Macaca mulatta: one gene and its partners. The protein of the gene in region 3 interacts with the protein of the main gene of each other region in a biochemical or structural test. Links are inferred from orthologs where the notes say so. Each region holds a gene or a part of one and is shown on either strand. Other genes may lie near its edges. The genes, in order: UBE2G1, UBE2H, UBA1, UBE2L6 and UBE2Q2.

The links.
Region 1: of the proteins of UBA1 (region 3) and UBE2G1, one has a biochemical effect on the other in vitro, tested with the Homo sapiens proteins (3 studies listed by BioGRID, with this or other methods). The link is inferred for Macaca mulatta from reciprocal best matches to the Homo sapiens genes UBA1 and UBE2G1.
Region 2: of the proteins of UBA1 (region 3) and UBE2H, one has a biochemical effect on the other in vitro, tested with the Homo sapiens proteins (3 studies listed by BioGRID, with this or other methods). The link is inferred for Macaca mulatta from reciprocal best matches to the Homo sapiens genes UBA1 and UBE2H.
Region 4: of the proteins of UBA1 (region 3) and UBE2L6, one has a biochemical effect on the other in vitro, tested with the Homo sapiens proteins (2 studies listed by BioGRID). The link is inferred for Macaca mulatta from reciprocal best matches to the Homo sapiens genes UBA1 and UBE2L6.
Region 5: of the proteins of UBA1 (region 3) and UBE2Q2, one has a biochemical effect on the other in vitro, tested with the Homo sapiens proteins (3 studies listed by BioGRID). The link is inferred for Macaca mulatta from reciprocal best matches to the Homo sapiens genes UBA1 and UBE2Q2.

Annotation. Positions count from the first base shown.
Region 1 is NC_133421.1:5,801,948-5,808,099, forward strand, and holds part of UBE2G1 (ubiquitin-conjugating enzyme E2 G1), read right to left. Parts: intron 4,671-6,152; coding exon 4,568-4,670; intron 1-4,567. UniProt on the Homo sapiens protein: Accepts ubiquitin from the E1 complex and catalyzes its covalent attachment to other proteins. In vitro catalyzes 'Lys-48'-, as well as 'Lys-63'-linked polyubiquitination. May be involved in degradation of muscle-specific proteins.
Region 2 is NC_133408.1:169,621,313-169,628,131, forward strand, and holds the start of UBE2H (ubiquitin-conjugating enzyme E2 H), read right to left. Parts: upstream 3,752-6,819; 5' UTR 3,613-3,751; coding exon 3,560-3,612; intron 2,585-3,559; exon of another isoform or gene 2,570-2,584; coding exon of another isoform or gene 2,547-2,569; intron 1,166-2,546; exon of another isoform or gene 1-1,165. UniProt on the Homo sapiens protein: Accepts ubiquitin from the E1 complex and catalyzes its covalent attachment to other proteins. E2 ubiquitin conjugating enzyme that transfers ubiquitin to MAEA, a core component of the CTLH E3 ubiquitin-protein ligase complex.
Region 3 is NC_133426.1:47,238,199-47,244,350, reverse strand, and holds part of UBA1 (ubiquitin-like modifier-activating enzyme 1), read right to left. Parts: intron 2,649-6,152; coding exon 2,584-2,648; intron 2,344-2,583; coding exon 2,148-2,343; intron 1,432-2,147; coding exon 1,357-1,431; intron 1,238-1,356; coding exon 1,048-1,237; intron 1-1,047. UniProt on the Homo sapiens protein: Catalyzes the first step in ubiquitin conjugation to mark cellular proteins for degradation through the ubiquitin-proteasome system.
Region 4 is NC_133419.1:15,849,281-15,855,432, reverse strand, and holds the end of UBE2L6 (ubiquitin/ISG15-conjugating enzyme E2 L6), read right to left. Parts: intron 4,343-6,152; coding exon 4,156-4,342; intron 2,222-4,155; coding exon 2,070-2,221; 3' UTR 1,374-2,069; downstream 1-1,373. UniProt on the Homo sapiens protein: Catalyzes the covalent attachment of ubiquitin or ISG15 to other proteins. Functions in the E6/E6-AP-induced ubiquitination of p53/TP53. Promotes ubiquitination and subsequent proteasomal degradation of FLT3.
Region 5 is NC_133412.1:53,962,903-53,969,054, reverse strand, and holds part of UBE2Q2 (ubiquitin-conjugating enzyme E2 Q2), read right to left. Parts: intron 3,264-6,152; coding exon 3,162-3,263; intron 998-3,161; coding exon of another isoform or gene 995-997; intron 1-994.

The DNA of each region.
Region 1 (6,152 bases), on a different chromosome or scaffold from region 3:
TGATAATCAGTCTGAAAATAGTTGGTATACCTTTGAAAATAGTTGGTATACCAGTTCAGAGTGTACATTTCCTAGAAAAACCTTAAAGACTACTGCACTGGAAAGATTCATTAATAAAAATAAACATGTAATGCAATATAAAGATGAGTATGACTGAATTAAGACTTGTGGCAACTATAGGAGTCTCAAAGTAACCCCTGAATGTACCAGTTATCAATCACATAGACTGAAGAGAGTGGAGTGCCCTCTAGTGACTAAATGAGGGCTAATGACGGCACGGTGAGATAATCACACCAGCTTTTACAGAATTTTGGTTCAGTATTATTTCTATTACCTAATTATAAAGTAGTGAATTAACCACTTAGGTCTGGGTACCATCTGAGCCTATACTAATTTATTTTCAATCCTGTAACACCGCTTCCCCCCAGTACAAGCCTCTACTTCCCTTCACAGGCAGTTATTTATTTTATTTTATTTATTTTTATTTATTTATTTTTTTTTTTGAGACGGAGTCTCGCTCTGTCGCCCAGGCTGGAGTGTGGTGGCCGGATCTCAGCTCACTGCAAGCTCCGCCTTCCGGGTTCCCGCCATTCTCCTGCCTCAGCCTCCCGAGTAGCTGGGACTACAGGCGCCCGCCACCTCGCCCGGCTAGTTTTTTGTCTTTTTTTGGTAGAGACGGGGTTTCACCGTGTTAGCCAGGATGGTCTTGATCTCCTGACCTCGTGATCCGCCCGTCTTGGCCTCCCAAAGTGCTGGGATTACAAGCTTGAGCCACCGCGCCCGGCCTACAGGCAGTTATTTATACATAAGGTATATACATTCACTCCCAATAGCGCTCTTCAAATAATTCCAAGATGGCCTCTACTCTCTCCATTCCACTGAAATAATTACAAGAACATCACTACTTTCTTACTTTCTGTTAAGACAACCTTTTTTTTTTTTTTTTTGGAGACAGAGTTTTCCTCTTGTTGCCCAGGCTGGATGGAGTGCAGTGGCACGATCCCAGCTCACCGCCAACGTCTGCCTCCCGGGTTCAAGCGATTCTCCTGCCTCAGCCTCCCGAGTAGCTGGGATTACAGGCACCCACCACCATGCCCGGCTAATTTTACATTTTTAGTAGAGATGGGGTTTCTCCGTGTTGGTCAGGCTGGTCTCCAACTCTTGACCTCAGATGATCCTGCCCGCCTCGGCCTCGTACGCCACCACGCCCAGCCAACGACAAATCCATTCTATGAAGTACATGATCCTTGGTAGCATTTTAAAAGGCCTACTTCTAACAAACCTTTCTTCATCCCCCTGTATCTTGCTTTGCCTTTCTCAGGTCCTGCCCTAGGAACACGCTCTCTCTCTTCCCTGAGCAAAGGCTACTGATCTCAGGAAGGCACAGGCCAGAAGTGACCACCAGTATTCTCAGCAGCATATACACACTCCAGAGGAGCTGCCAGAAACACTGCTGTGATTCACATCTCAAGTCAACAGCCAACGCTTTCAAAAATGTACACCAAATACCAGAAACGGTGTTGTTTTCTTTTTTGAGATGGAGTCTTGCTCTGTCACCAGGCTGGAGTACAGTGGTGTGATCTTGGCTCACTGCAACCTCCGCCTCCCGGATTCAAGAATTCTCCTGCCTCAGCCTCCTGAGTAGCTGGGACTACAGGTGCGCGCCACCACGCCCAGCTAATTTTTGCATTTTTAGTAGAGACGGGGTTTCACCATGTTGGCCAGGATGGTCTAGATCTCCTGACCTCGTGATCTGCCCGCCTCGGCCTCCCAAAGTGCTGGGACTATAGGCGTCAGCCACAGCGCCCGCCCAGAAACGGGTTTTTATTAGTGAAAAGAAAAAGTGTTTCTCTTTGGTGGAGCTGGAGGTACACAACATACAGTCAGTTATGCGAGGCTTTACGACAGGGTTATGATCTGAGAAAGGCGTCCTTGGGCGATTTTATACATCAGAGTGAACATACACAAGCCTACAGGGTATGGCCTACTTACATACCTGGGCTTTAGGATACAGCGTATAGTTCCCAGGCTACAAACCTGTAGCGCATTTTACTGTACTGTATACTGTAGGCAATTGTAACAAAATGGTGTATATCTAATCCTGAGAGGTCAGGAGTTCGAGACCAGCCTGCTCAACATGGTGAAATGGCATCTCTACTAAAAATACAAAAATTAGCCGGGTGTGGTGGCAGGTGCCTGTAATTCCAGCTTCTTGGGAGGCTGACACGGCAGAATCACTTGAACCCAGGGGACAGAGATTGCAGTGAGCCAAGATCGCGCCACTGCACTCCAGACTGAGAGACAGAGTGAGACTCCATCTCAAAAAAAAAAAAAAAAAAAAAAAAAATTTCAATGAGGCCCTTAGAATTGAGCTCAAATCTGGATTCCCAACCAATGCTCCATACAGACATCAGTTTAGAAGAGTTTTTCTTGTTTTCATGTACGTAATACAAGGGTAACTAGATTCTGTCACTGAAATGTTGCTGTGTCTCCCAAGGTGGTGATGTTGAAAAACTACAAGAATAGATCTGAACTTCACCGGGCTCACATCCCAGGTGTGGTAAGTGGGTAAGGATCTGGCTGCATCAAGCATCTTTTGGTGAAAAAACTGTTAGGAAATTTGCTTTCAAATAACAGTAAGGTTAGGAGGAAGCACTTCCAGATGGTCTTCAATGGCTACTGTTATCTGCCAAAAACCTTAATCATGTGGGGTGGCCAAATTCAGTTATCTCAATTTGTAAAACTCATCAATGCAAACTACTATCAGGAAACACATCAGCAAAATTTCGGATTGGCAATCGTTATCACAAACACAAATGTCCACACGACGGTTCAACTCTACGTATCAGCCTAGCCTGGCAGAGAAATAGCTCCAAATCTTCTTTTCCATCAGCTGTTTTCTGAGGAGGAAAAGAGCTACTAACTCAGAAAACCTAAAAACAACTACCTGACCATCACCAAAAAAACTGTTTGATGCATCCAAATCCTTACCCACTTAGCACCATTGAGATGAAGGTTAAATGAGAAAGTATAGTCCAGACCTCAAGAAACTCAGATCTAGATCTGTCCCTGTCACTCAGTTGTTGGCTTTAAGAAGGTCACTTCCTTTTTTTCCAATACCTGAACTGCTGTAAAAAGCATGGAAACTTGTATCAGTCACCAATGTAAGGAAGTCTTGATGCATCTTTGTGTGTGTGTGTGTGTGAGATGGAGTCTCGCTCTGTCACCCAGGCTGGAGTGCAATGGCGCTATCTCAGCTCACTGCAACCTCCACTTCCTGGGTTCTAGCGATTCTCCTGCCTCAGCCTCCTGAGTAGCTGAATTACAGGCGCGCGCCACCACACCCGGCTAATTTTTTTGTCTTTTTAGTAGGGACAGGGTTTCACCATGTTGGTCGGGCTGGTCTCGAACTCATGACCTCGTGATCTGCCTACCTCAGTCTCCCAAAGTGCTGGGATTACAGGGGTGAGCCACCGCGCCTGGCAGATGCATCTTACAAAACAATACATACTAGTAAATTTAAGTTAGTCTGCAAACACTCAGAGCAGAAAATACGACTGTGGTCTTTGCATCTAGAAATGTACTACACGAAATATTTTTAAAATTCTACTTCTCTTCTACTCTTATTTAATACCACTACATTGTTGTCTATCCTTAAGTCATTGGTTTAACAATTAATAGTCAGTTAACAGGTTATCATATAGTCTAACAATAACTTTCAACAAACTAGGAGAAAGTGACCATTAGTTTAGTATAGGATAAGAACACCTAGATTCTAACCAGTATTCAGTGGGGACTCAAGTAGAGAACCACGAAAATAGACGATCTTGAAAATTCTCCTTAGCCTTCTTAATACACTGATGTGTATAATACATTCTCAATTAAAATGTCCAAAAAATATACAATTATCCTGCCTCCTGAATTCAAGTGATTCTCCTGCCTCAGCCTCCTGGATAGCTGGGATTACAGGTGTGCCACCACGCCCGGCTAATTTTCATATTTTTAGTAGAGACAGGGTTTCACCATGTTGGCCAGGCTGGTATCAAACTCCTGACCTCTCAGGTGATCCACCCACCTCAGCCTCCTAAAGTACTGGGATTGCAGGCGTGAGCCACCACACCCAGCCTGAAACTATTATTTTTAATAGCAATAGGTCTTAGACATTAGAGATTCAAGGAGAACACGAACACTCTTCGATGATCCAATTCAGTACAAAGGATACTGAATACAGCCATTTCTCCTGCTCCTTAAAAAATAATTTCATTTCAGTTTGCCAAAATACTTGTGTTTTTGCTTTGTTTTGTTTTGAGATGGAGTCTCACTCTGTCACCCAGGCTGGAGTGCAATGGTGTGGTCTCAGCTTACTGCAACCTCTGCCTCCTGAGTTCAAGTGATTCTCCTGCCTCAGCCTCCTGAGTAGCTGGGACTACAGGCGCGTGCCACCACACCCATTCCCAAAGTGCTAGGATTACAGGCGTGAGCCACCACGCCCAGCCTGCCAAAATAGTTTTTAACTCAGTGTATTAAAAGAGCTCCATTTTGAAGATGTCAGTCCCATTATACTTACTAAAGTGTATCTGGAGGGCCAATAATAAGGACTTCCCATCGGTAGAGATCATTGTCATCTATTAAACCTGCAGAAAAGCCTTCCACTGGATTTTTGTTGAGTTCTGTGGAAAAAGCAAAGTTTAATCAATACATTTAAGCACAAAATTTTCATCCAATAGATAAATTACAGAACTTGAGCATACATGTTATATATAAGTTTTAAACCATCAAACAGATATACCTTGCCAGGCAAGATGCTACTTGATGGCCAAAATATTTTCATGTCTATACTGTAAGAAAGCCCTGGGTAAAGCAAACTCTCCAGAAGATCAACTTCTACTGGTGTCCAGCCAGGCTCTTGTCATTCTGGGTGGCCCTACAGTGGTCTTTTAAGGAAGCTTATTAAAATGCAGATATCCAGGCCCATCCCCCAGAGATTCTCGTTCGAGGGAACCCCAGAAATCAAATCAAGTTGGCAATTCTTAAGCTGCTATCTTTAGGGTATGCTTTCAGAGTGTCTAATCATACCTTTTCATTGGAATATACTGAGCTTAATAACTTTCATTTGTACTAACATTTGTACTCCTATTTGACATGTCCCTGTAGTCGTGGGGACCTGCTCCTACAGTGCTCCTGTGTGCCCATCCATCTCTGAGCACAAGGAGAGCAGAGGTCCCATAAGTCTTATCTGTGTATGTTGACCCTCTGAGAGCCATAGCCTCTGGGACACAGGATTAACTTAAGAGTAATAGCTAGAGCATACAGGAATGGCTGTAGCATCATGAGGTTCTTCTCTTCTAAAGAGAGTGCCGTGGCATGGAGAAAGAATGACAGGGTGGGAAACAAGAGGTGAGGAACTAGCGAGGTGGGGGCACACAAGCCAAGACAGGGACCTTAAGGAGCAGGTGAGCAGGGGTGCAGGGCCCAAAATGTTTCCGGAGACACCAGACTTAATAAAGTACTGGCCTACTAACGGTGAGCAGACCACATGAGAAATTTTTAAACAGTTTAATGAGGTATAACTGACATTCGGTGAACTGCACAGACTTAAATTACACAATTTGGCCAGGCACAGTGGCTCACACCTGTAATCCCAGCACTTTGGGAGGCCGAAGCAGGTGGACCACCTGAGGTCGAGAGTTTGAGACCGGCCTATTAACATGGAGAAACCCCGTCTCTACTAAAAATACAAAATTAGCCAGGTGTAGTGGCGCATGCTGGTAATCCCAGCTACTCAGGAGGCTGAGGCAGAAGAATTGCTTGAACCTGGGAAGCAGAGGTTGCGGTGAGCTGAGATCACACCATTGCATTCCAGCCTGGGCAACAAGAGCAAAACTCTGTCTCAAAAAAAAAAAAAATAATTAAAAATAAATAAATAAATAAAAATTTAAAAATTAGTTGGGCATGGTGGCATGCGCCTATAATCCCAGTTACTCAGAAGGCTGAGGCAGGAGAACTGCTTGAACCTGGGAGGCAAATGTTGCATTGAGCCAAGATCACGCCATTCATTGCACTCCAGCCTGGGTGACAGAGCAAGACTCCATCTCAAAAACAAAAACAAAAACAAAAACAAAAAACAATTTAATAAGTACTGATATATGTAT
Region 2 (6,819 bases), on a different chromosome or scaffold from region 3:
ACACTCTCTTGTCACACACTCCATCAGCTGTTTGGTAGCTCCTCCCCTCCTCCTTTTCCGGGTAGTAACAGGGCGGCCAATGAGCGCTGAGGAGCGGTGCCTGCGGCCTTTTGCCTGCATACGCTTTTCCAAAACAAGCAGCTCTAGCCTTCAGCAGGGGCCACTGGTTCACAGATGAAAGGATCACCAGGGCTGTGCAACAGGGTGAGACGAGTAACCCCCACCAACAAGGAAACCCGTGTAATCTGAGCTGTTTGTTCCTCCACCAGGGAGAACTTAAACCGATATTCCTTTAGGGCAAATCACGCTTTAAGGTCACCAGAGCCCCAGCTCTCAGACAATCTAAATAATCAGCTGGTTGGAGGTGGAAACCTCAAAGGTTGCCAGGCTCTGGGCAGCACAGATCACCAATCTACCTGACTTTGCAAACAAATGGCTGCACTATTCGAGACCATTCCATAGGATCTGGGCTAACTGCAAGGTTTTTTTATTGGGACACATTCCTAAAGGATCCAAAAGTCATGTAAATCAGTTTCTAGGCTCCTGGGGAGGTTTGCACAACCCTGAGCAAAGGATCAGAAGAGAAACAATGAATGAGTCAGAGTTTCAGAGCATAATCACCCAGCAGATTATTAAGTGCATTGGTGCAAAACACTCACTCCCTGCATAACTTGGGAGTCAGCTCTCCTCCTACCAACCCGTCACAAAAGAAATATCACTGACTCCAAACAACCAGAGACAGTGTCTCCAAAAGAACCAAGTGAGGTGGTGGAAGGCAGCGGCCAATTAGTTACACATCCTCTTCTCTCCCTACCCCCACACTGCTACTTTCCTACTATATAGGTTCCCTGCTAGGCTGTAAATTGTGGTGGTATAATTACGCTAGGAGACATCCAAAAATGGGCTGAAACAGGAGACTGCAAGGAAACCAGCTATCACTCCCCACACCAAAGAAATCATCAAGGGACACTGGGGGGCAAGAAGTGCATTCCTTCAGACCTTTTCTTCCTACTTCCTCTCCACCATCTTTCTCAACCCCCAGCCTTTTCACACAATTGTACTCATTTTAGTAGAGAGGGTTGGGGAATTTTTCCTTAAATTTTCTGCTAAATATACCTTACTCAAAAATTGTTGGCTCCATTTGGGCCTACTGATCTGTGAATTCAACAGAGAAAGGAGGACACAAAATCTCTCACCTACACAACACACACAAAAGGAAATCCGAAACATTTTAACTTCCAAACTCCGTTATACCAGAAAATAAACACGAAACAAAGATAACCTCTGGCTTTTAAATCTTAAAACTGTTATCCTCCTATCTCAGATCTACAATTTTAAAGCGCCCCTGCTTTCTTTTGTCAGAAAGGAAGGAAGGTGGGGAAAGAACAGAAGGCCAATGCATCTTTGCCTTTCTTCATCTTCTACTAAAAATAAGCTATGAAATAAGCCACTTAGGGGGAGAAAAAAAAAGACACCCTGCTGTTCTTTGTCTGTTTTCCTCTCCCTCTCCACCCCCCACACCCCGACTCCTAAATGCGGTAATCATTCTAGATGCCACAACTACTAAATGAACAAAAGGCACTGTATGGAAAAGGCATCAGGTCAAGTTAGGCCCCCCTCTTTATCCTCAATCTTTTAAAAATATGTCTATGTACATAATTTGAGACTCTGACAATGATCACAAACAGCTGGAATTCTATCTCCCCACTCCATCCCAATTAAACATTAGGTAGAAATTCGCATTAGGTGTGACAGTAACTCTCAATTCAAGATAAAAATAAATCAGATTCTGCCACCATGTCATTTCCTAGTTTCTAAACAAAAATAAAACCTGAAACTGCTTTGTCTAAAATGTACACACAGTCAGTTAGTTACAAGTTTTCCTGCAGCCTTATGAAAAGCCAACATTACTGGTATCATTCACACATTTACAAAACAATCACAGCCACAAACAGCTCATAAAGAGTTGATTTCACTTGTGCCTGAACATATATTAGGTACGCTATACTTTATTAGTTGCTCCGCTCTAATCTCCCACCCCCCAAAAATTCTAAACTCCAAACCACAAACTTAGAAGTCTATCTACTGCTCCTAATTTCTAGCCAAGTTTTCCCTGAGCAAGGAGAAAAACACCTTATTTCTGAAAAGATTATTTTTTTAAAAATATCTTGCCCGGACAACTTCCCTCCCATCCCCCATTGCCAAACCATATGCAAAAACTACTTTTTTAAAACTTCAGCAAATTCCCTAACTGAATTTTTTGACAATAATCACTGACCTCTACAAAGAAGTAAAACAATCAAAAACAGCAACAAGTAAAAGGAAGAAAAAAGGAATTCACCTGAAGAATTTAGCCAAACAACTTGAGTTATATAAACAAAACCCTGCAACAGGGGGAAACGGTGGGGGGATGGGGTGAAGGGAGAGAAACAGGAGACAGGACTTTTAAACTGTGTTCCACAGTACCACCCCCTAAGCCCCCACTTTCCCCCCTCCCCAAGGACTAGCTGTTCAGAACTCTGGGCTCCCCCCACCCTCTAAATTACCCTTCAAAAAACAAATTCTCCATTTGTCACAGGAACCTTCGCGAATTTCTCTAGCTGGTCCTTAAATAATCAGTCTGGACTTCAACCAAAACCACTGCCTGAAGGGCTCTTATCAGTTATGGCTTTCCCACTGCAGCCTCCAGAGTGCAGAAAGTTGGGGGGAGGGGGCAGAAAATAAAGGGTGTCACTTGGCGACATCAGGGCAAGTATTCCCCCAAGAAGCTGACCCTCACAGAGGAAGTTTTGCCCAAGTGGCCAGTCCAGGGACTATTTTGTCCAGGAGCTCCTCTTTCCCCGGCTGTCATACCCACAACATGGAGGGTGGCTTGCTGGAGGGCCCAAGGGTCTTCATCACATACAACCATGGGTGGGACAGGCTTTGTCAGTGGAAAGGAAAACAGTAGGGTTCTCCCGGGGACCAGAAAGCTTAACAGGAGGGACTGACTGAAAACACACAGAGCTCTTTCTTAGAAGAGGGGGCCCTGAGCAGGCGACTCTCTTCCTAATATAGAAAGGAATTAGGGATAAAAGAGGTCGCTTGAATGACCCCAGTTCAAGCAGCATTGTGGTTGGAGGAAATGGGGGCATCTCAAGGAAGGGAGAAAGGCTTCCGTCTCGGGAATTTCTGCCTTGAGTCCCTCAATCCAGAGCGAGCAAACAGGAGAGAGAAACCCTGAAGATGGGCTCGGTGGTAGAGAGTGAGGCGACTGGTCCTGCAAAAAGAAATAAGGCCGTCTGGGAGTCCAAACGTCGCGAAGGAAAGTCACGGGCTGTGGGGATACAGGAAGAGCGAGCAGCAACGCGTATTTCGGGGTGCTGCGGGAAAAAGGCGAGCTGAAAAGGCTCTCGGCCCCTGGGAGGTGCCAAGGAGCCGCCGTAGGCACTGGGGGAGGAGGGGAGTCTCGGACAGTGGCCTGGAGTGCCCCAAGGCCTTTGCAGTGGTTTCGGGGGTGCCCTGGGCATCCCCACACCGCCCCCCACACACATCCCGAATTCCCCTCCACGAAGGATACAGCTTGACCACGTCCGTGTCCATCCGCCTCTTGCCCGGACTGGGAGATGACATGGTGTCGCCGCCGCCTCCCCGCCGCCGCCTCTCTCCCTTCCTCGGCCCGTCTGTCACGGGCCCCGGGCCCCGGCTCTGAGGAGCCCGCGGCCGCGCCGGCTCCTCGGTGGAGGTGGCAACACCCCCGCGGTCCCGGCGGTCCCGTCAGCCGCCGCCGCCGCCCCCCGCACGGGGGAACACCGGGCACTGTCCGGCCGGGTGGGGGTGGGGACCCCGCGGCGCCCGGCTCGGGCAGCCCCTCTCTGGCTGTGGTTCCGCCGCGGCCCGGCCCCGGCACTCCTCTGCGCCGCGCGACGCTCCCTCCTGCCTGCTCTGGCTCGCTCGCCTGTTTCCCACTCACCCTCTGACCGGCTCCTAGCAGCCTCCACTACAAGCGGACGACTCCTGCTCAGTCGGCCTCCCTACCCCAGCCTCGCTCTGGGCGCCGTGACGTCACAGAGGTGACGTCATCGGAGGGGGCGGGCCTGGACGCTGAGAGGGGTGGGGCGCCGCTGCGGCGTGGGCTTTCCCGGTGCATTCTGGGAGTTGTAGTTCCTCTTTCTCCGGCTGTCTCACACCCTCTGTCCCCTCCCCCAACTTCCCCACCTACTTCATCGCTCAACTGCCAGTGTCGTTATCATCATCCTAAACGATAATAGTAAATAATGGCAATATTATTAAATGCGTGGATTTTAGGTTAACGAACCTCCACACACACTCTGTTTAACAAGCTGTTAATTTCTTTGATTTGGAGGAGGCCAAGGTAGCAATTACTCAGGCACCAAAATCTGGAAATTCCCACACCAGCAGGTTCCTTGCACTCCGCTCCCTCCTTGGCTGGAGAGAATTTGTTTCCAAGGATTGTAGACCACAGCAAGGCTTCTTCAGGCTTCAATACCAGGGTTCATCACAATCCACGTGTCTACGGGCACTATTTCAAAGATTAGAGTTTACACAGCAATGTGGTAAGGTCAGAAATAATTTAGTACTACTATCCTTATTCTACAGAGCATGAGGCAACTTCGCAAAGTGTGTGAACCTCCTACACCAATCTTAAATACTTCATTCATTCAATAAATATTTATTAAGCACTTCCTGTGTGCTAATCACCTTGCTGGACATGAGGATATAATGGTGAACTAAGAAAGACTAAATTTAGCCGGGCGCAGTGGCTCACGCCTGTAATCCCAGCACTTTGGGATGCCGAGGCAGGAGGATCACCTGAGATCGGGAGTTCAAAACCAGCCTGGCCAACGTGGTGAAACCCCATTTCTACTAAAAATACAAAAATTAGCCGGGCGTGGTGGCGGGCGCCTGTAGGCCCAACTACTCGCAAGACTGAGGCAGGAGAATCGCTTGAACCCAGGAGGCAGAGGTTACAGTGAGCCGAGATCGTGCCACTGCACTCCAGCCTGGGCGACAGAGTGAGACTCTGTCTCCAAAAAAAAAAAAAGGAAAAGGAAGACTAAATTTACACAGCCCCCCAGTATAGTCTGTGGGTCTATAGTGTCAGCATCACTTGGGAACTTGTTAGAAATGCCGCTAGAGCTTCACTTCAGATCTACTGAATGAGAATTTGCAGTTTTAACAAGGTCCCCAGGTGATTCTTTTTTTTTTTTTTTTTTTTTGAGACGGAGTCTCGCTCTGTCACCCGAGCTGGAGTGCAGTGGCCGGATCTCAGCTCACTGCAAGCTCCGCCTCCCGGGTTTACGCCATTCTCCTGCCTCAGCCTCCTAAGTAGCTGGGACTACAGGCGCCCGCCACCTCGCCCGGCTAGTTTTTTGTATTTTTTAGTAGAGACGGGGTTTCACCGTGTTAGCCAGGATGGTCTCGATCTCCTGATCTCGTGATCCGCCCGTCTTGGCCTCCCAAAGTGCTGGGATTACAGGCTTGAGCCACCGCGCCGGGCCCCCAGGTGATTCTTATGCACAGTGAAGTTTGAAAGATGCTGCCCTATAAGGTCCTCCAAAAGAAGTGTTATGGAACCCAGGAGTCAACCAGGCAAAAGGGCCAGTGAAGAGTGTTCCAGGCATCGCCTATATTTATGTCAGATTTTCACTATCATTTCAAAAGTTTTATCTTTTCCCTCATTCCCATGAATATACACTTGTACTTTGTCAGATCATGTGTTGTGAGTTGAGCCTCCCTTACATAACCTCCTATGCACACACACCTGGGGCAGCAGCAATGAGCTAAGATTGAACGTCTTTTGCAGCTATCATTTCATGCCTCAAAAAACCTAGGCTTTTTTAAATTGTAAAACATACATAACATAAAATTTAACATTTTAACCATATTTAAAGGTATAATTCAATAGGATTAAATACATTCACAATGTCATGCAACCATCGTACTACCCATTTCCAGAACATGTTCACCATCCCAAACATTAAGCAATAACCCCTTCCCCCCAGCCCTTGATAACCTCTTTATGTTCTGAAAAAGGTGGGCTATTTTAGTTGCTTCTGAAAGGAGTGCATTGCTCTTTCAAATTGTACATTGCTGCTGGTCCAGGTACAGTGGTGTTTAAAACTAATTGATCACAACCAGTTACAGATTTCTTTGTTCCTTCTACACGCCCACTGCTTCACTTGACTAGCCTTAAAAAAAATAAAAATAAATTGCACAGCCGGTTGCGGTGGTTCACGCCTGTAATCCCAGCCCTTTGGGAGGCCGAGGCGGGGCAGATCACGAGGTCAGGAGTTTGAGACCAGCCTGGCCAGCATAGTGAAACACCATCTCTACTAAAAATACAAAAATTAGCCAGCTGTGGTGGCATGCGCCTGCAGTCTCAGCTACTTAGGAGGCTGAGGCTGGAGAATCACTTGAACTCGGGGGGCGGAGGCTGCAGTGAGCCAAGACCACACCATTGCACTCCAGCCTGGGTGACAGAGACTCCATCTCAAAATAAATAAATAAATACATTGCACATAGAAAACCACACAGAGAAGGAGGACACGTCTGAACGAAGAGATTTTTCTTTTTTCAGACGAAGTCTCGCTCTTGTCCCCTAGGCTGGAGTGCAATGGCGTGGTCTCAACTCTCTGCAACCTCCACCTCCCAGGTTCAAGCAATTCTCCTGTCTCAGCCTCCCAAGTAGCTGGGATTACAGGTGTCCGCCACTACACCCAGCCAATTTTGTATTTTAAGTAGAGACAGGTTTTCACCATGTTGGCCAGGCTGGTCTCGATCTCCTGACCTCGGGTGAGCCACCCTCGTTGGCATCCC
Region 3 (6,152 bases):
TGGGAGAGAAAAGGGGCAAGGAGGAGAGGTAGAGAAGAACAGAATACAAACCTGAAAAACACAGAGAAAGAGCTGAGGCTATCAAGAACGATCTCTCTAGAGACACTAAGGAATGGAAATGAAAGTGTTAGGAGAAAGTGGAGATGGAGAGATCAAGATGGGAAACGTAAAGATCTTGGGAAGAATGATGTAGAGCGAGATGGGGGAACACAGAGGATACAGGGAGGAAAAGGGGAGTAAAAAATATATATGGAGGGGAAGTTGGGGGGAATGTACAGATGTGGACATAGAGGAAAGATATGGGGGGAGATGGAGAAGATATAAAAGGGGAGAGTGGGGGTATACAGAGGGTGAGACAGGTGGGAGGAGAAATATATGAAGGTGATGAGAGATATGGAAGGAAAGATTGGAAGACGTACATAGAGGAATATGAAGGAGTAGATATTTCAGAAGGAAGATGGGGACCATGGAAGGGGAAATGGGAGGAGATCTGTGGAGAGGAAGAGGGATGAGATATAAGGAAGGTAAATGTAGGGGGCATTACAGAGCTACAGAGGCATTATATACAGAAGGGAGGAGTGGTGAAAAAATATGTAGATGGGGTGGGGCGGGGGTGTCAGTAAACCGCAGCCCCAAACTATGGAGGGTGAAGATGCATAGAGAAACATGGGGATAGATGTACAGATGGGGGCAGATCTGGAAGGAGACAAGGCAGGAAGGTATCACGGGAGAGAGACCACTGGTAGAGATCATACGTCTTAGATGAACAGATCAAGAAGAAATAACAAAACTAAGGGAAATACACAGAGCAAGAGTAAAACAGCAAGTTCTCCTGCGGGCCAGAGAGTGGAGAGGAGGAGGGAGGGAGACAATTTGCCCCAACCTACCCTCTTCATGTCAAAGGGAGGCTCAAAGGAAGGTGTGGGTAAACCTCAGGCCTGGGGTCACAAAGCAGAGCAGAGCCAGGGGTAGAGGACTGGTGGGGAGGCTAGACTAGGCCGGGGACATTTGGGGGTGACTACTGGCCAACTGGCCAAACACCCTCACCAACAGAGGCATTGGCGCTCTGCAGCTCCTGGTCAGAAACATGGATCTTGACGCCAGACTTGGGGGTGAATTCGGGGACCTGCACAGACTGCAGGAGTGTGGCCACAGCAGCTCGGTCCTGAGAGCCTGTCAGCCCGTAGGTCTGGGCAAACAGGTTGGCAGCAGCCATCACATAGTCCAGATGCAGGGGCTAGGAGAAGGCAGGGCAGGGAAGGGTGAGCACATCAGCCTTCGAGTGGGGAGCCACCACCTCCTTCCCACCTACTCACCCTCCACCTGACCCCAGAAGACCCTAGAGAGGAGACTTACGTTGTTGACATCAAAGGTGAGCGGGTGTGGACAGCGTTTGGGGCCAGACCAGAAAGGGGCTCCTGAGCTTGTGAGCTAAGGGATGGAGAGATTTTTGAGAACAGGACCTGAGAGTGAAGGCCTCTCTGACAATCTTGGCACTTCACCTAGGCCCCAGAGGTGCCCCCAACTCACTATCTCGGGTTGGGCACTCGATGGGGACTGGAGCCAATCACAAAATACCCCAACTGTAGGGTCCCACAGGTTGAACCACAGATCTGGCTGAGAGAACAACTACCAATCCCTGGGTAGTCATTTTGTGCTAGACAGCCCATCATTTAACAAACTCATGGATTACCAGGCATTGTACTAACTTCATATTAATAAATACCAGTTAATCCTCCCCAAACCCCCCATGACGTAGATCACTATTATTTCTACTTCACAGACGAGGAAACTGAGGCACAGAAAGAAGTTACGTGATTTGTTCAAGTAGAGTTTAGATTTGAACCCAAACCCGTATTGATTCCTGTGCACTTAACTCCAGAATTTCTCCCCCATAACCCCTACAGCCCTGACTGGGAATCAGGTATGACGCAGCCCACACCACAGTCAGGGTAAACAGCAACCAAGCCTCTTTGCTCAAAGGAACTAGGGTAAGGAAAAAGCAGGTTAGGGTCAATCACTCTTCTCAGATCCCCATGCCTCAGGGCACCTGCCACAGCTGGACTCCGCAGTGGGAGGACCCACACTGCAGGCTCCCATTTCAGGGAAATACATTCTGTCAAATGGACCCAACAACTGGGCATTACCTGGTCAGGAGGGAAGTTGTGCAGCAGCTGCCGGATGTTGTTTGAGTACTGGGTGTGCCAGTGGTGGCAGGCCCAGGTCACACAGTCAGCCCAGGTCTGTGGTCGCTGCAGCACCAGGCTGCGCTGCACAGCCTCCAGCACCTCCAAGGGCTGGGTGCCTGCCAACCGTAGTGTTCGCTCCACAAACTTGGGGTCTCTATCAGGAATCGAAGAGGACAGAGGACAGGATTACACGTCAGCCTCAGGAGTGGGCTCCAGAGCAATCTTATTTTCTCCATGGAAAACTAGTCCCGACCCCAAACAATACGAGGCCCGAGCAGCCACTCATTCATGTGAAAAGTGTGCCTGGTGCCAAGTGTTACTGTGATGAGGAAAGCAGGCGGGATGCCTTGGCTGGTGGACAAGGATAGGGCGAGAGGGCACTGGAGTTACTCACGTGAGGTACTGGTTGACATTTTCTGCTGGCTGCTTGAAGAGGCCTTCAAACTCATCCCGAGCCCACTGCAGACATAGCAAACAGATTACATGTGGCCACAGTTGACAAAATGGGTTACCGCAGGCATTATTAGAAGGACCATCAGTGAATAAAGCAAGTACAAGGCTCACAGTTATTCTGGAAGTGGGGAAGCTCCCCAGCCTTCCCCATTTCCCCACCTCAATTGAAAAACCAGGCCAGGGCCGGGCGCGGTGGCTCAAGCCTGTAATCCCAGCACTTTGGCAGGCCGAGACGGGCGGATCACGAGGTCAGGAGATCGAGACCATGCTGGTTAACATGGTGAAAACCCGTCTCTACTAAAAAATACAAAAAATTAGCCGGGTGAGGTGGCGGGCGCCTGTAGTCCCAGCTACTCGGGAGGCTGAGGCAGGAGAATGGCGTGAACCCGGGAGGCGGAGCTTGCAGTGAGCTGAGATCCGGCCACTGCACTCCAGCCTGGGTGACAGCGCGAGACTCCGTCTCAAAAAAAAAAAAACCAGGCCAGGTGCAGTAGCTCACACCTGTAATCCCAGCACTTTGGGAGGCTAAGGTGCGTGGATCACCTGAGGTCAAGGGTTCGAGACCAGCCTGACCAACATGATGAAACCCTATCTCTACTAAAAATACAAAAATTAGCCGGGCATGGTGGCAGACGCCTGTAATCCTAGCTACTCGGGAGGTTGAGGCAGAGGAATCGCTTGAACCTGGGAAGCGGAGGTTGCAGTGACCCGAGATCATGCCATTGCACTCCAGCCTGGGTGACAGAGCAAGACTCCATCTCAAAAAAAAGAAAGAAAAAAAAAAAAAAAAAAAAGAAAAACCAATGAACTTGATTTGGGCAGTGGTTACAATAGTGCTGTGTATATGGAAAACTGTTTTGTTTTGTTGTTTGAGACAAAGTTTCACTCTGTCACCCAAGCTGGAGTGCAGTGGCGCAATCACGGCTCATAGCAGCCTTGACCTCCCAGGTTGAAACAATCCTCCCACCTCAGCCTCCCGAGTAGCTGGGACCACAGGCACATGCCACCACACCCGGCTCATTTTTAAGATTTGTTGTAGAGACAAGGTCTTGCTATGTTGCCCAGGCTGGTCTTGAACTCCTGGGCTCAAACAAACCTCACTCCTTGGCCTCCTGAGTGCTGAGATTATAGGTGTGAGCCGCCAAGCCCAGCCTAAAAATGTATTAAGATCTGCGTACCAGGCTGGGCGAGGTGGCTCACGCCTGTAATCCCAGTACTTTGGGAGGCTGAGGCGGGTGGATCACCTGAGTCAAGAGTTCAAGACCAGCCTGACCAACATGGTGAAACCCTGTCTCTACTAAAAATACAAAAATTAGCCCGGTGTGGTGGCAGACGCCTGTAATTCCAGCTACTTGGGAGGCTGAGGCAGGAGAATCGCTTGAACCCGGGAGGCAGAGGTTGCAGTGAGCCAAGACTGCGCCACTGCACTACAACCTGGGCAACGTGAGCAAAACTCCACCTCAAAAAACAAACAAACAAAAAAAAACAAAACAAAAACTGTGTACTTTATTCTAGATATGTTATGCCTCCATAAAAAAGAAAAACTTCAACTATCTTACCACAATTTTTTAAAAAAGAAAAAACTCAGACCAAACCAAAAATGATCCCTATCCAGGCCCTGAGGACTCGGCAGAAAACAAGACAGAGGCTGGATACAGGGGCTCACACATGTAATCCCAGCACTTTCGGAGGCTGAGGTAGGTGGATCACTTGAGCCCAGGAGTTTGCAACCAGCCTGGTCAACGTTAACAGGCGCACATGCGCGCACACACACTTCCCAGGAGCCGAAGGTTGCAGTGAGCTATGATTGTGCCAATGCACCTCAGCCTGAGTGACAGAATGAGACCCTGTCTCAAAAAATAAAATAGCAAACAAGACAGATGTTCTGGCCTCTGAGAGTTCCTAGGACAGTTCGCAGTCATTAGCGAGGTGGTTTGGAGTGTACAGATGTGAGAAATTCATGTTCAGATTCCAGCTATGCCACGTATTACCTAGTTTTGTGACTTCAGGCACACAGGATAACATCTTTACCTCTGTGCTTCATCTCTAGAACAGATGTTACAACAGTGATACCTACTTCATGGGGTTGCTAGGAAGAAATGAGCAAATACGTATATATTTAAAGCTTGGTTAAAACAGTGCCAGGCACACGGTAAATGGCAAGTGGTTCACAACTGTCCTGTGAGGTAGATGCTACTGTCATTCCCATTTTACAGAACAGGAATCTGAGGCACAGAGAGGTCACACATGACCTAGTAAGACTGTGGTGGGTGCACAAATACAAACATACCCACTCTGGAACTGCAGTGTCAGAAGGGAGAAAGTGACAGATGGAACTGGTTTTTTTTTTCCCCTTCCCTATTTTGTTCCCACCCTCATACTCCTACTATTCTAAATGGTTTGGCCTCAAACACTGCACTAAGAATTATTCTGACAGCACAATGGTAATCCCTAGGTTCTGTTTCTTGGCCTAGGTGGTAGTCACTTGTGTGTTCACTTTGTAAAACTTCAGCTAGATCAAGCTTGTCTAACCTGTGGCCCGTATGTGGCCCAGGATGACTTTGAATACTGCCCAACACAAATTTGTAAATTTTCTTAAGACATTATGAGATTTATGCACGGATCTTTTTTTCTTTTATTTTTTCAGCTTATCAGCTATCGTTAGTGTTAGTATATTTTATGTGTGACCCAAGATAATTCTTCCAATATGGCCCAGGGAAGCCAAATGATTGGACACCCCTGAGCTAGATAATATGTGCACTGTTCTGTAGGTACATGCACCATACACACAGAATCATCCTGACAAACCAGCTGTTAAACTCATTTTAAGTAACAGCTGGGGAAAACCCGAATATGGACTATTAGAGACAAATAAATAACTGGAAGAGATGGTAAGAATGATTGTTAATTTTGTTGAGCATGAAAGTGATGTTTCTGTTAGATAGAAGTAGTTCTCAATTGGGAGTGATGTGGCACCCCTGGGGACATCTGGCAATGTCTGGAGACATTTTAGATGTCATGATGGAGGGGGAGTGCTATTGACATAAGAAGTCAGGAATGCTGAGAAACATCCTACAGTGCACAGGGCATCCCCTCTCCCATAACAAAGAAGTAACCAGCCCCAAATGTCAGTAGTGCTGAAGCTAAGAAACCCTGTTCTATAGCAACATATCCTCACTTGGCAGAGGCACTGAAATAGTAGGGGAGTAAAGGCTGTTATGTCCGTGACACATTTAAGCACAAAGAAGAAAAATCTATATACATCTAAGAAGAAAATGTGGCAAAACATTAAGAATTGCTAAATTTAGGTGAGGAATGGTATTTGAGTATTCATCATAATATTCTTAATATTTCTCTATGTGTTGAAAAAAATTCAAAGTAAAAGTGAAAAAAGAATGAGTCATTCTAGAAACCTAGGCTGCCTGGTGGGAAGAGAGGGAGGGAGGTTTGGAGAAAAGGTACATCTTACACTTAGGCATGCAACATCTGAAGGCAAGGCAAGGGCCTGGG
Region 4 (6,152 bases), on a different chromosome or scaffold from region 3:
GTACTTTTGTAAAATCCTCTCTGGCCCCTCAGTGCCCGCTCCATACTTGGCCCAGGAACGTCTGCACTCTGGGATGATAAACTCTGGACACAGGGGTTTCCTCACCGGCTGAGGTATCAATAACTATGCAAGGTGTCTGGGAAAGGACAATGGCCTGGGTCTCACCACTAACCAGCTGTGTGACACTGGGCCATACAGTTAACCTCTCTGGGCCTCAGTTTACAGGCTGAAAGGGGATAATGGGAGTTGCAACCTTATGAAGGTGTTGCGAGAGTCAAATGAGATAATGAAAAGGGCAAAAAGCTTTGCCCAGTCCTGCCACTCAAGTGTTCAGTAAGTGGTCGCCAAAAATAAAAAACAAACTTACATTTTGACTCTGGTGGCACTTCTTCTGGTTATATTCCCCTCTTTCCACGCTTCTCAGGTAAGGGCACTCCAGGGCAAGAGCTGGAGAAGATTCTCTAGAAACAAGTGGGATCTGGTTGACTTCCTTGACTCAAATCACCCCATATTCTGTCTCTGAAAAGCCAGCAGTATTCCAGGAGCTTACAACAATTGCAACCAGAAAGTTCTTCCTCTGGGTTAAGTTAATCCCTCTATCTGGCTGAAGTTTTGGCTTGTTTTTGCTTTTCCATTGCTCATGAGATACAAACTCCTGAGCTGATTACAATTTCCTGCTAACTATCCAGTCTGGTTTTATCAGCCATTTGGGGCATATGTGCTGATAAAAGCAGCTCATGAAAAATACAGAAAACAAAACACATCCCAGCCACAACCCTGGCTCACCTGCAGGGGTGTGGATTGGCAGAGTGGACCCCAGCAATCCACTGAAGTGCTCTGTGCCTCAATTGCCTCATCTTTAAAATGGGGATGTTGGCTGGGCATGGTGGCTCACACCTGTAATCCCAGCACTTTGGGAGGCCAAAACAGGTGGATCACCTGAGGTCAGGAGTTCGAGACCAGCCTGGCCAATATGGTGAAACCCCATCTTTACTAAAATTACAAAAATTAGCCAGTTGTGGTGGTGGGCATCTGTAATCCCAGCTACTCAAGAGACTGAGGCAGGAGAATCGCTTGAATTCAGGAGGCGGAGGTTGCAGTGAGCCGAGATCACACTGCTGCACTCTAGCCTGGGTGACGGAGTGAGACTCTCTCTCAAATAAAAAAAATAAAATGGGGACGTCATCCTTGTGTACCTTCTGAAAGCACCTCTGTCCAAGGATGGCCTATTTTTCCATAGCCAACATTCCTTTTGATGTTTGGGGAACATCCAGGGGAAGCAAGGTCAGAAATTTATGCTTAAATCCCTAGTCCTCTCTGGTCCTGATGAAACTACCCCATCGCCTCATCAAAGACTCAGCTGCACTCCAGAATTCATCTTTGACTTTAATGGCTTAAGCAAGATCATGGTTTCTGTGGCTCCCCCTGGACTGGATGCTGGAGGACACACACTTCACAGTCTGAGGCCTGGTCCCAGGAACTGGCAATCTAACAGGATGGCAAGTGGTTTTGAAACATACAGATTTTCAGGATGGAAGTCTGATTTTTCAGATTGTGACTCATCCGTGGAAAATAAACGGTTTAGCACCTAAATCTGTAGATTCCCATCAGTGGCTTTGCTGACTCAGGTGTAAATAGGGTACCCTCCATATGTCTCCCACCCATACGCTCCACTGTCCCCAGGCCCTCAGTGCCTGAGCCCTAGGGGGATTCGAGTTGGCTGCTGGGCTCATTTCCTGCAAGCGGGCCGGCGAGATGACCTGTCTCTCTAAGATGGAGAGCTGGAGAACTGGCCTGTAACTCTGCAAACTTAAACTCCCTTGGCTCTGGGGGATGCAAAGGCTGTGGGAAGGGTGTACCTGTGGCCAGGTGAACCCGGGAGTGAGTCCACACACAACACACACACTCACAGCTCCCTTCCCTCTACCCCACACACACAAACGAATGACTAACAACCTAAGAAAGAAAAAATGAGTGGGGAATGGGCCATAGGGGGCTCTGGCCTCAGTCCATGAGGTGTGTCCATCCACCATGCCAAGGATCCAGTGCACAGAGGGTCAGAACATGAGTTAGGAGGGCCGGTCCACTCCATATTGGAGGGTGAACTCTTCAGCATTCTTTCTGAACAGCTCCGGATTCTCTGTCAGCAGGTCAGCGAGGTCCACCCGCAGGGGCTCCCTGATATTCGGTCTATTCACCAGCACATTCAGGGCCTCCAGGACTGGGGAGAGACAGGCCAGGACATCAGGGCAGAGGGAAGGGGTCACGGCTGCCCACTCCCAATGCCTTGACACTCCACACCCACTCCTTGGAGGAAAGGTTCCATCTCTTAGGCTGACTCTATGACCGGATCAAACACCCCGCTCATTCTTGGTTGGTGACACCCAAGACCTTGACTGATGACATCAGTGGTTTTCAAACAACTACATTCCATGGCTTCAGAGAAGCTCTTCATCATGGGAGCCACTGAAATAAGTGAGGTTTCTGGGTCTTATCCCCATTTCAACAAAAACTACTCTGTTTTCCTCCATTATATTGATAGTCCAAATAAACTTTTCCTTGGGCAAAAGGGGTCTAAGGCTAAAGACTGAAAACCACCATGGCCCCCTGGCTCTTCATCTTTCACAGATGCCTTTGGGAACCTGGTGAAGGTAGCAGCCCATCTCCTGAGACAGACGCACACTCCACGTGCAAAACGGATAGTTCCCAGACCCCTTGAAGCTCATCCAAGGACCACTCCTCTCCCTGCTCCCACTCCCACCAAGCAAAGGACTTTTGTTTCCTGAGTTAAAAACTCCTGAGGTGGTCCAGGTAGAGGATTGCACACTGACTCAGTCACAGGCTCTAGAGCTGCATTGTTCAATATGGTAACCATTAGCCACAGGCAGGCATCTAAATTTAACTGAATCAAAATCAGGCTGGGCACGGTGGCTCACACCTGTGATCCCAGCACTTTGGGAGGCCAAGATGGGTGGATGGCTTGAACTCATGAGTTTGAGACCAGCCTGGGCAACATAGCAAAACCTGGTCTCTACAAAACATACAAAAATGAGCCAGGTGTAGTGGCATGCTCCTGTAGTCCCAGTTACTCGGGAGGCTGAGGTGGGAGGATGGCTTGAGCCCAGGAGGTAGAGGTTGCAGTGAGCCAAGATCGCACCATTGAACTAACTGCCTGGGCAATAGAGACAGACCGTGTCTCAAAAGAAAAGAAAAAAAAAATTAAAATTAAGTACCATTAAGAATTGAGTTCCAGCCAGGCGCAGTGACTCACACCTGTAATCCCAGCACTCTGGGAGGCCAAGATAGGCGGATCGCCTGAGGTCAGGAGTTCAAGACCAGCCTGGCTAACATGACAAAATCCTTCTCTACTAAAAACACAAAATTAGCTGGATGTGGTGGCACACACCTGTAATTCCAGCTACTCGAGAAGCTGAGGCCAGAGAATCGCCTGAACCTGGGAGGCAGAGGTTGCAATGAGCTGAGATCGCACCACTGCACCCCGGCCTCGGTGACAGAGCGAGACTCCGTCTTAAAAAAGGAAAAGAACTGAGTTCCTCAGTTGCAACAGTCACATGTGGCTCGCGACTCAGCCAAGTGCTGCCGTTTGCCATCTGTATGACCTTAGGCAACCACTTCGCCTCTCACATGCCTCAAATGTCCGGGTCTATTCAACAAGGCTAACGACAACACTACCTCACGGGGTGGTGGAGGAAATGAAAATGAAGTCCGCATGTGATGTTCTCAGCACAGCGCTGAAAGTGCTCAGTCAAGTGACAGCTATTCTCATTATGAGGCCAGTTCCCTCCACTGTCATTTAGGACACCGAGTCCCAGAAAGGAACGAAAACTTGCCCAAAGTCCACAGAGGGAACAGCGGGCTTTCTTATCCCGAGCCCTTCCCTGTACAGCCAGGCTGCCTCTCTCGTGAACCACAGCAATGTTCCTCTGTCACAACTGCCCAGGTACAGGAACAGAGGCAGGAGGAGGTCAGTCTGTCCAGGAAGCATCCCTTCTATCTCACAGTAAGTTCAGCCAAGACTCACAATTTTCACCTCCTCTCTTCGGGGCTTTTCAAGCTCAGAATAAGTCTGTGAAACCCCCTTCCAGTAATCTCTACCCAGTATCAGTCCCTCCTCCGGGCAAAGCCCAGCCCCACCTTGGCAAGTCTTGGTGCAAGGCTTCCAGTTCTCACTGCTGATGATGGGCAGGCAAACATGTCCGCTCTCGTCCACGTTGGGGTGGTAGATCTTGGTTGTGAATTTGATCATGGGAGGCCTGAACGGATACTCAGGCGGGAAGCTGATGCACAGGTTGAAGGCTTTGAGGTGGTAGGGAGGTTGGTCCTGTGCAGAGAGAAAAGGGGTCAAGCTCCGGTCTGGTTTTCTTCCCTTCCTGCCCCCATCCCAGGGTCCTAGGCATCCTCTGCTTCACTCCCAGGGGGACACATGAGCCAGGATACGCACAGCACCTGCATTCATTTGACAACTGAGTCATGGATTAGTGAAAATGTGAAATCACCAAAGGGCACTGGCCTGGGAGGCAGAGAAGTCTGATCCAGGCTTTTGCTGTGTGACCACGGTTGAGCCACTTCCCACCTCTAGGCCTCACTTTCCTCATTTGTAAAGTGGATAAAGATGGACTAGATGAGCTCTAAGGACCATCTCAGCTTTCATGGATTTCTGAGATTATGGAAGAAAAGGATGGAACATCCTTTCTTAGAACATTAGAATGGGGGTGAGGAAATGGAGAAAATGAGGAAATCCTAAGAACTCAGGAACTTAGGAAAATACAAAGGTGCAGCTGCAGTGGAAAACAGTATGGCCATTTCTCCAAAGATTAGACACTGAATTACCATATGATCCAGCAGTTCTACTTCTGGGTAGATACCCAAAGAACTGAATACAAACAGGTATTTGTATACCAATGTTTCTAGCAGCCAAAAGGTGAAAGAAAACCAAGTGGATCAATCAACAAAACATGGCATATACACACAATGGAGTATTATTTAGCCTTAAAAGGAAAGAAATTCTGATATATGCTACAATCTGGATGAACCTTGAAGACACTATGCTCAGGGAAATAAGCTAGACAAAAAAGGACAGATATTGCAAGATACCACTGAAGTACAGCACCTAGAATAGTCAAATTCATAGAAACGAAATAGTAAAGTGGTCACCAGGTGCTGTGGAAAGAAAGGAATGGGGAGTTACTGAAGGGGTACAGAGTTTCAGTACAGGTGGACAAAAAGTTCTAGAGATGAACGATGGTGATGGTTGTGCAACCATGGTTGTTTGTTTGTTTCCTGAAGCAGGGTCTCGCTCTGTCATCCAGGCTGGAGTGCAGTGGCATTATCATTGCTCACTGTAATCTCAAACTTCTGGGCTCCAGTGATCCTCCCACCTCAGCCTCCTGAGTAGCTGGTACTACAGGAGCCCACCACTAAGCCTGGATAATTTTAAAAATTTTTTGATAGGGTCTCACTATGTTGCCAGGGCTGGTCTTGAACTCCTGGCCTCAAGCGATCCTTCCACCTTGGCCTCCCAAAGTGCTGGAATGACAGGCATGAGCCACCATGCCCAGCTGTAATCCTATTTAATGACACTGAACTGTATACTTAAAAACGGTTAAGATAGTAAATTGTGTTATATGTATTTTACCATAATTAAACACAAACAAACTCAGGGGCTAGAGTGACCGAGGGGTTGGGAGCTGCAAGGAGCCAAGAGAAGACCCTCTAGACTTTGAGCGACCTGAACACTTTTCTGAGCGCCTATCTGTGCTGTCCTGTGCTAAGGACTTGACATGCATTAGCCTGGGCAACAGAGTATGCGGGTCACACAGACTCCGGAGCCACCATGCCTGGGTGTGACTCGGCTCTGACACTCACTAGCAATGTGATCTTGAGCAAGTAACTTCACCTCTCCATGCTTCCATATGACAATAATAATAGACTTCTTCATAAGGCATATGTGAGGATGAGATGATTTAATTTATGCCAAGGATTTAGAACAGCGCCTGGCACATGGCAAGTACTACATATGTGTCAGTTACTACAATAGGTATAAAAACAATTATCAGCATCTCTATTTACAGAGGAGAAAACTCAAGTTCAGTGTATGTAAGTAACTCACCTAGGACCACAGCAGCCTTGCA
Region 5 (6,152 bases), on a different chromosome or scaffold from region 3:
CCACTAGTTTTGGCAACTAGGAGATAAATTTTAGTGCAACAATGAAGGTACAATCCAGATTATAATAACTTCAGTGAAAAAAGGTGAAGACATGCAGCTTATTCTCTTAAGAAACTAGGCTATGATAAACTGGCAGAGGCTGTAAGAGTGGGAGGTGAGTTGTTTTCTCCTTCATGTAAATATATTCACTTTTTAAAAAACTAGGCCCAATGTTATATCCTATTTCATTTAACCTTATGAACATGTTTACTTAATATTTTAGACACTGAAAAGTAACTCATTTTTGCTATTATAAAACCGTTATCTTTAGATCTTCTGAAGCAACTTCCTAAAAGGAGGTAGCGGTAACAGAACTATGTCTGCCATTCTTTCCCATCAACCCCCTTGCTGGGGATGTAAACATGTGTCCATCTAACTTTTAATTTTTACCTCTTACCTTCATGGCTCTCCATACAAACCTTAACTCGTGTGTGTGTGTGTCTGTGTGTGTGTGTGTGTGTTTGTGTGTGTATATATGGAGAGAGAGAGAGAAAGAGAAAGAGGGTCTTGCTATGTTGCCCAGGCTGATCTCAAACTCCTGGGCTCAAGCAATCCTCCCACCTCGGCCTTCCAAAGTGCTGGGATTACAGGCATGAACCACTGTGCTAAGCCTCAGCCTTAACTCTTAAAATATTTTTTTTTGGAGACAGAGCCTTGCGCTGTCGCCCAGGCTGGAGTACAGTGGCACAATCTCGGCTCACTGCAACCTCTGCCTCCCAGGTTGAAGCAATTCTCCTGCCTCAGCCTCCCAAGTAGCTGGGATTACGGGTACATGACACCACACCTGGCTAATTTTTGTATTTTCAGTAGAGATGGGGTTTCGCCATGTTGGCCAGGCTGGTCTTGAACTCCTGACCTCAACTGATTCACCCGCCTGGGCCTCTCAAAGTTCTGGGATTACAGGTGTAAGCCATCACGCCCAGCCTTCTGTTCTTAAGAATAGATGTGTTTACACCAACTATAACTTATTTTGACAAAAATCAGAGTTGAGACTCAAACTTCCTCAAATAGTTTTCCTAAGACTATTTACAGAATAATCTGTCCTTTCCTTATTAAGTTAAAATACCACCTTCACCTTACGCTAAATTCTCATTTGCATGACTCTGGTTCTAAATTTCCATTGCCTTTATCTGTCTGGAACAGGGTTAGTACACAACATTTTATTGAACATCTGGTTGAACAAGTCTTTTTTTTTTTTTTTTAATCATTTACTCTTTTAAACGTTAGAGTCATTTTGTTAACTTCCAAAAATAAATCTGCTGGGATTTGTACTGAAATTTATTACATATATATACACACACACACATATACACATATATACATATGGGTATATATACATATTATGTATTTTATATATACATATATGTATACACACACATACATATACATATATTTTTTTTGAGACAGTCTCACTCTGTCACCTACGCTAGAGTTCAGAGGCACAATCTAGGCTTACTGCAATCTCTGCCTCCCAAGCTCAACTGATCCTCCCACCTCAGCGTCCTCAGTAGCTGGGACTACAAGTGTATACGGCTATACCCTGCTAATTTTTGTATTTTTTGTAGTGACGGGGTTTCACCATGTTGCCTAGGCTGGTCTTGAACTCATGAGCTCAAGCAACCTGCCTGCCTCAACATCATAAGGTTCTGGAATTACAGGCATGAGCCACTGCACCCAGCAGAAATTACATTTACGAATATGAAGACATGGTGATAAGTGACATATTTATAACATGAGATCTGCTCATACAGGAACACAGAATGCAAATCTTTCCTTCCACTCAGCAAAACTGTTGTGTTCTTGATAAAAGTCCTGCACATCTAAGTTGATTCCTAGGTATTTAATTTTTGTTGAAATACTTGAAAAAATACTTTATCACTGTATCTTCTATGTGATTATAGCTAAAATTGTGGAAAGCTATTAACTTTTATGTAACAGACCTTTTAACCAGTAATCTTAAAAACTCTTTTTTCCGGTTGGTTCCTCTGAATATTTTTAGGTAACCAATCATGTCAGCCGAAAATAATGAGGATTATTTTTCTATAAAGACTTTATGATATCATGGGAAAATACAGTAATTTTCTTTTTTTTTTCCTGAGACGGAGTCTCACCCAGGCTGGAGTGCAGTAGTGTGATCTTGGCTCACCACAACCTCTGTCTCCCAGGTTCAAGGAATTCTCCTGCCTCAGCCTCCCAAGTAGCTGGGATTACAAGCATGTGCCACCATGCCCAGTTAATTTTTGTATTTTTAGTAGAGACAGGGTTTCACCATGTTGGCCAGGCTGATCTTGAACTCCTGGCCTCAAGTGATCCGCCCGCCTCAGCTTCCGAAAGTGCTGAGATTATAGGCATGAGCCACCGTACCCAGCCAGTAAATGTGTTTTAAACTGATATAAAACAATATAGAATATGACCTCAACTATTTAAACATATGTATAAAGTTATATGTATTTTACTAGCAAAGAAAAAATATATACTGGTAGAAAATAACCATCATGTCAACAGTGGTTATATTAGGTAGAGAAATTATGGGAGATTTTAATATTTTTTTCCTGTCTATATTTTACTAATTTTTTCAACAATGCTTGCTCATGAGTTTTATAATCAAGAAAAAAAGTGTTAAAAATTTTTGCAACACAGAAGTTATATTTCTTTATATATTAAAAACAAAAATAAAACTTTATATTTGAATACCTTTGACTTTTGCTGCACTTACAGACCTTGAAAGAAAAGGCAATTCCCTCATACTCGTTCTGGTGTCATTCTCCCCATCTCTTCCTTCACTTCCACCTTGGTCTTTTTTCTGCTTCCCATCTTGGCTAGTGATCTCTACCCAAAATGCTTGATTTGGCTTAATGGTTAGATTTCAGGGAAAAAGAGATCCCTAATTCATAATCGAAATTAAGGTTATACATGTGGGAAATAAAAAAGAGAGACCAGGTAGTAAACAGAATTTGAAAGACAACAACAACAACAACAACAACAACAACAAAACCTACTCTTTAATTCCTACAAGATTATAATCATTAATCGTGCTTTTATATCATATTATCTCTTAACATTTAATTTCTATATGTAATGTTCATAAGGAAAAAAGAAAATAGCTTGGCTTATTTTCTTACCGAATTGTTGTTCTTAGTATCTTCTAGACGTTCCAGAACTGATGTCAGATTTGGGTCATCAGAGTCCACAAACCATATTGGTGAAGAAGATGGATAGGATTCCTGTTTAACACAGAGACACCTATGTTAAACATTTACATACAGACTAACCCAAATATGCAATTAAACCACACCACTAAATGGCAAGATGACCACGGATTTAAACAAAATGTATGGGGGAAAAGACAACACGTTAAAAACCATGTGAGAGGCCGGACTTTTGAGACAGCTATTCTCCTTGCATAGCACTGTCTGTTGCTACAGCTCATAGAAGTCAATGATTTTCTTCAACATTGGTAGGCAGCCTCTAAAATGGCCCCAATCACCTTCACCTCCTGCCATTCACACCCTTGTAAACATTCCCGCCCCTGGACCTAGTGACTCACTTCTAACAAAGAGAATACAGCAAAAGTAATAACATCACTTCTGAGATCAGGCTACCAAGAGACTATGATGTCTGCCTTGGTCACCCTTCTCCTGCTTTTTCCATTGCTCCCTCTGATGGAAACCAGTTGCCATGTGATGAGGTGCCCTATGGAGAGGCCCACATGGCGAGGGATTATAAAAGGCCTCAGACCAAAAGCCATCTAGAAACAAAGGCCCAGTCCAACAGCCTGTGAGATAAATCCTGCCAACATCTACATGAGTGAGCTTGGAGACTGATTCTCTCCTTATCCTGCCTTAGGATGATCACGGCTGCCACCAACACCTTCACTGCCTGGTGAGAGGCCAAGTCAGTGAACCCAAGATAAATTGCACAAAATCCTGACCCACAGAAATGGTGAGATGTTTGTTGCTTTAAGCTGCTAAATTTGTTACAGAGAAAGAGAAAACTAATTCAAACACCATAAAATTCTAATGTTTTAACCTATCACACAAACGAAGTACTACCAAGAAATGCCATTACTACATACACACACACACACACACACACACACACACACACACACACACACGCATTTTGTTTTTAACCTCAAGACGGAGTCCTGCTCTGTGGCCCAGGCTGGAGTGCAGTGGCGCAATCTTGGCTCACTGCAACCTCCGCCTCCTAGGTTCAAGCGATTCTCCTGCCTCGGCCTCCTGAGTAGCTGGGATAACAGGCACATGCCACCATGCCAAGCTAATTTTTTGTATTTTTAGTAGAGATGGGGTTTCACCATGTTTGCCAGGCTGGTCTTGAACTCCTGATCTCATGATCCGCCCGCCTCAGCCTCCCAAAGTGCTGGGATTACAAGCATAAGCCACCACGCCAGGCCCATATCTTTTTAAATACATGTGATTTTTGAAAAAAGCTAACGAACTAAGCATTATGTGCTTTCACCCACTAACAGACATTTACTCTGTTACTTTGTATGCTTTTCTATTATAAATTGGGGGAAAACCATTATTATTATATATTAGCTTCAGAACAACTAGGTTCAGAACAACATGGAAAACAATTTTGCAGAAACAATTTTAGGAAACACTGCTTTGAGAACTATGATTTATAGCTGAAGCCACAGAAACTGAATATTTTTAAAGAATTTTGACAAATGTTCTTTTAAGAATAAGTTGTACTGATGGAGGACATCATTAATAATATACCTGGTCAATAATGGGTTATTTACTATTCTCATTCCTCTAACTCTTACTGTGCCCCAAATCTCTGTACAGGCTAAATGAGAAACTCTTCAGAATTAATCCTGTTCTTAAAGAACACTACTTATTGAGTACTGCATTTTCTTATTCAAATTTTTCAGCACACGTTGGGAATACACCATCTGGACCATTTTTAATGTTTTAGTTTTTAAGTTTCTTTTTCCTTAGGCTAAAGAAACTGCAACTACACTTAGGATCTCATTTTATTAGGTTAGTATTTGTCTAGTAAACTTCAGCATAAGCCAAGCAACATATATGTTGTCACTCTGGACTGAAACCCCTCAAAACCATATTAAGAAAATTAGAAAAACAACTGAAATCATGTTTTTAATCTTGTAGATGGAAAGATATGATACACTGTAGATCTAAGTACTTATTTCAATGGTTCCCAAAGTGGGGCCCCTCAGACCCCCAGGTCCAAACTATTTTTACAAGAATATTAACATGTTGATATATGCTGTGAGGGTGAAGACACAATGGTGGATAAAAATGCTGGCACTTTAGCACAAATAAAGGCGGTAACACCAAACTACTAGTAGTCATGGTATTCTTCACTATGCACAGGAAAGGTTTAAAAAGGAAGAGCAACAAAAGATCAGTTTCATTTAAGAATGTCTACAATAAGGCTGGGAATGGTGGCTCATGCCTGTAATCCCAGCACTTTGGGAGGCCAAGGCAGGAGGATCACTTGAACCCAGGAGTTCAAGACCAGCCTGGCCAACATGGTGAAACCCCATCTCTACAAAAAAATACAAAAATTAGTTAAGCATGGTGGTTGCATGCCTTCAGTCCCAGCTACTTGGGAAACCGAGGCAGGAGGATTGATTGAGCACAGAAGGTCGAGTCTCCAGTGAGCTGTGATCACGCTACTGCACTCCAGCCTGGGTGACAGAACAAGGCCCTGCCTCAAAAATAAAAAGAATGTCTATGATAAAGCAGTGAAAATTTTACTACATCTTAATCTTGAATATGTCTTTTTAGTATTTCAAGTGATGAAATGGGAAGTACATAGGAGCATTCCTACAGACTGCCTGAGAAAAAACCCTTGTGTGACTAAGTCGTGAACTGAATTAACCACTTTAATGGAATACCATTTTTACTTGAAAGGATGATTGACAATGTTATTGCAACTTGTTTTCGGATTTTCCTCAAAAAATAAGATTCTGTCATTTCAAGAAAAACAACAGACAGGCCATAATAAAATTCAATAATAAAACAGCTATAATAAAATGCAAGTTTTTGAACAAAAAATTAGTTTTTGAAAACTTGTATCCACCACTGTTTTCTAAGTATATCCTGATAACATTGATGGCA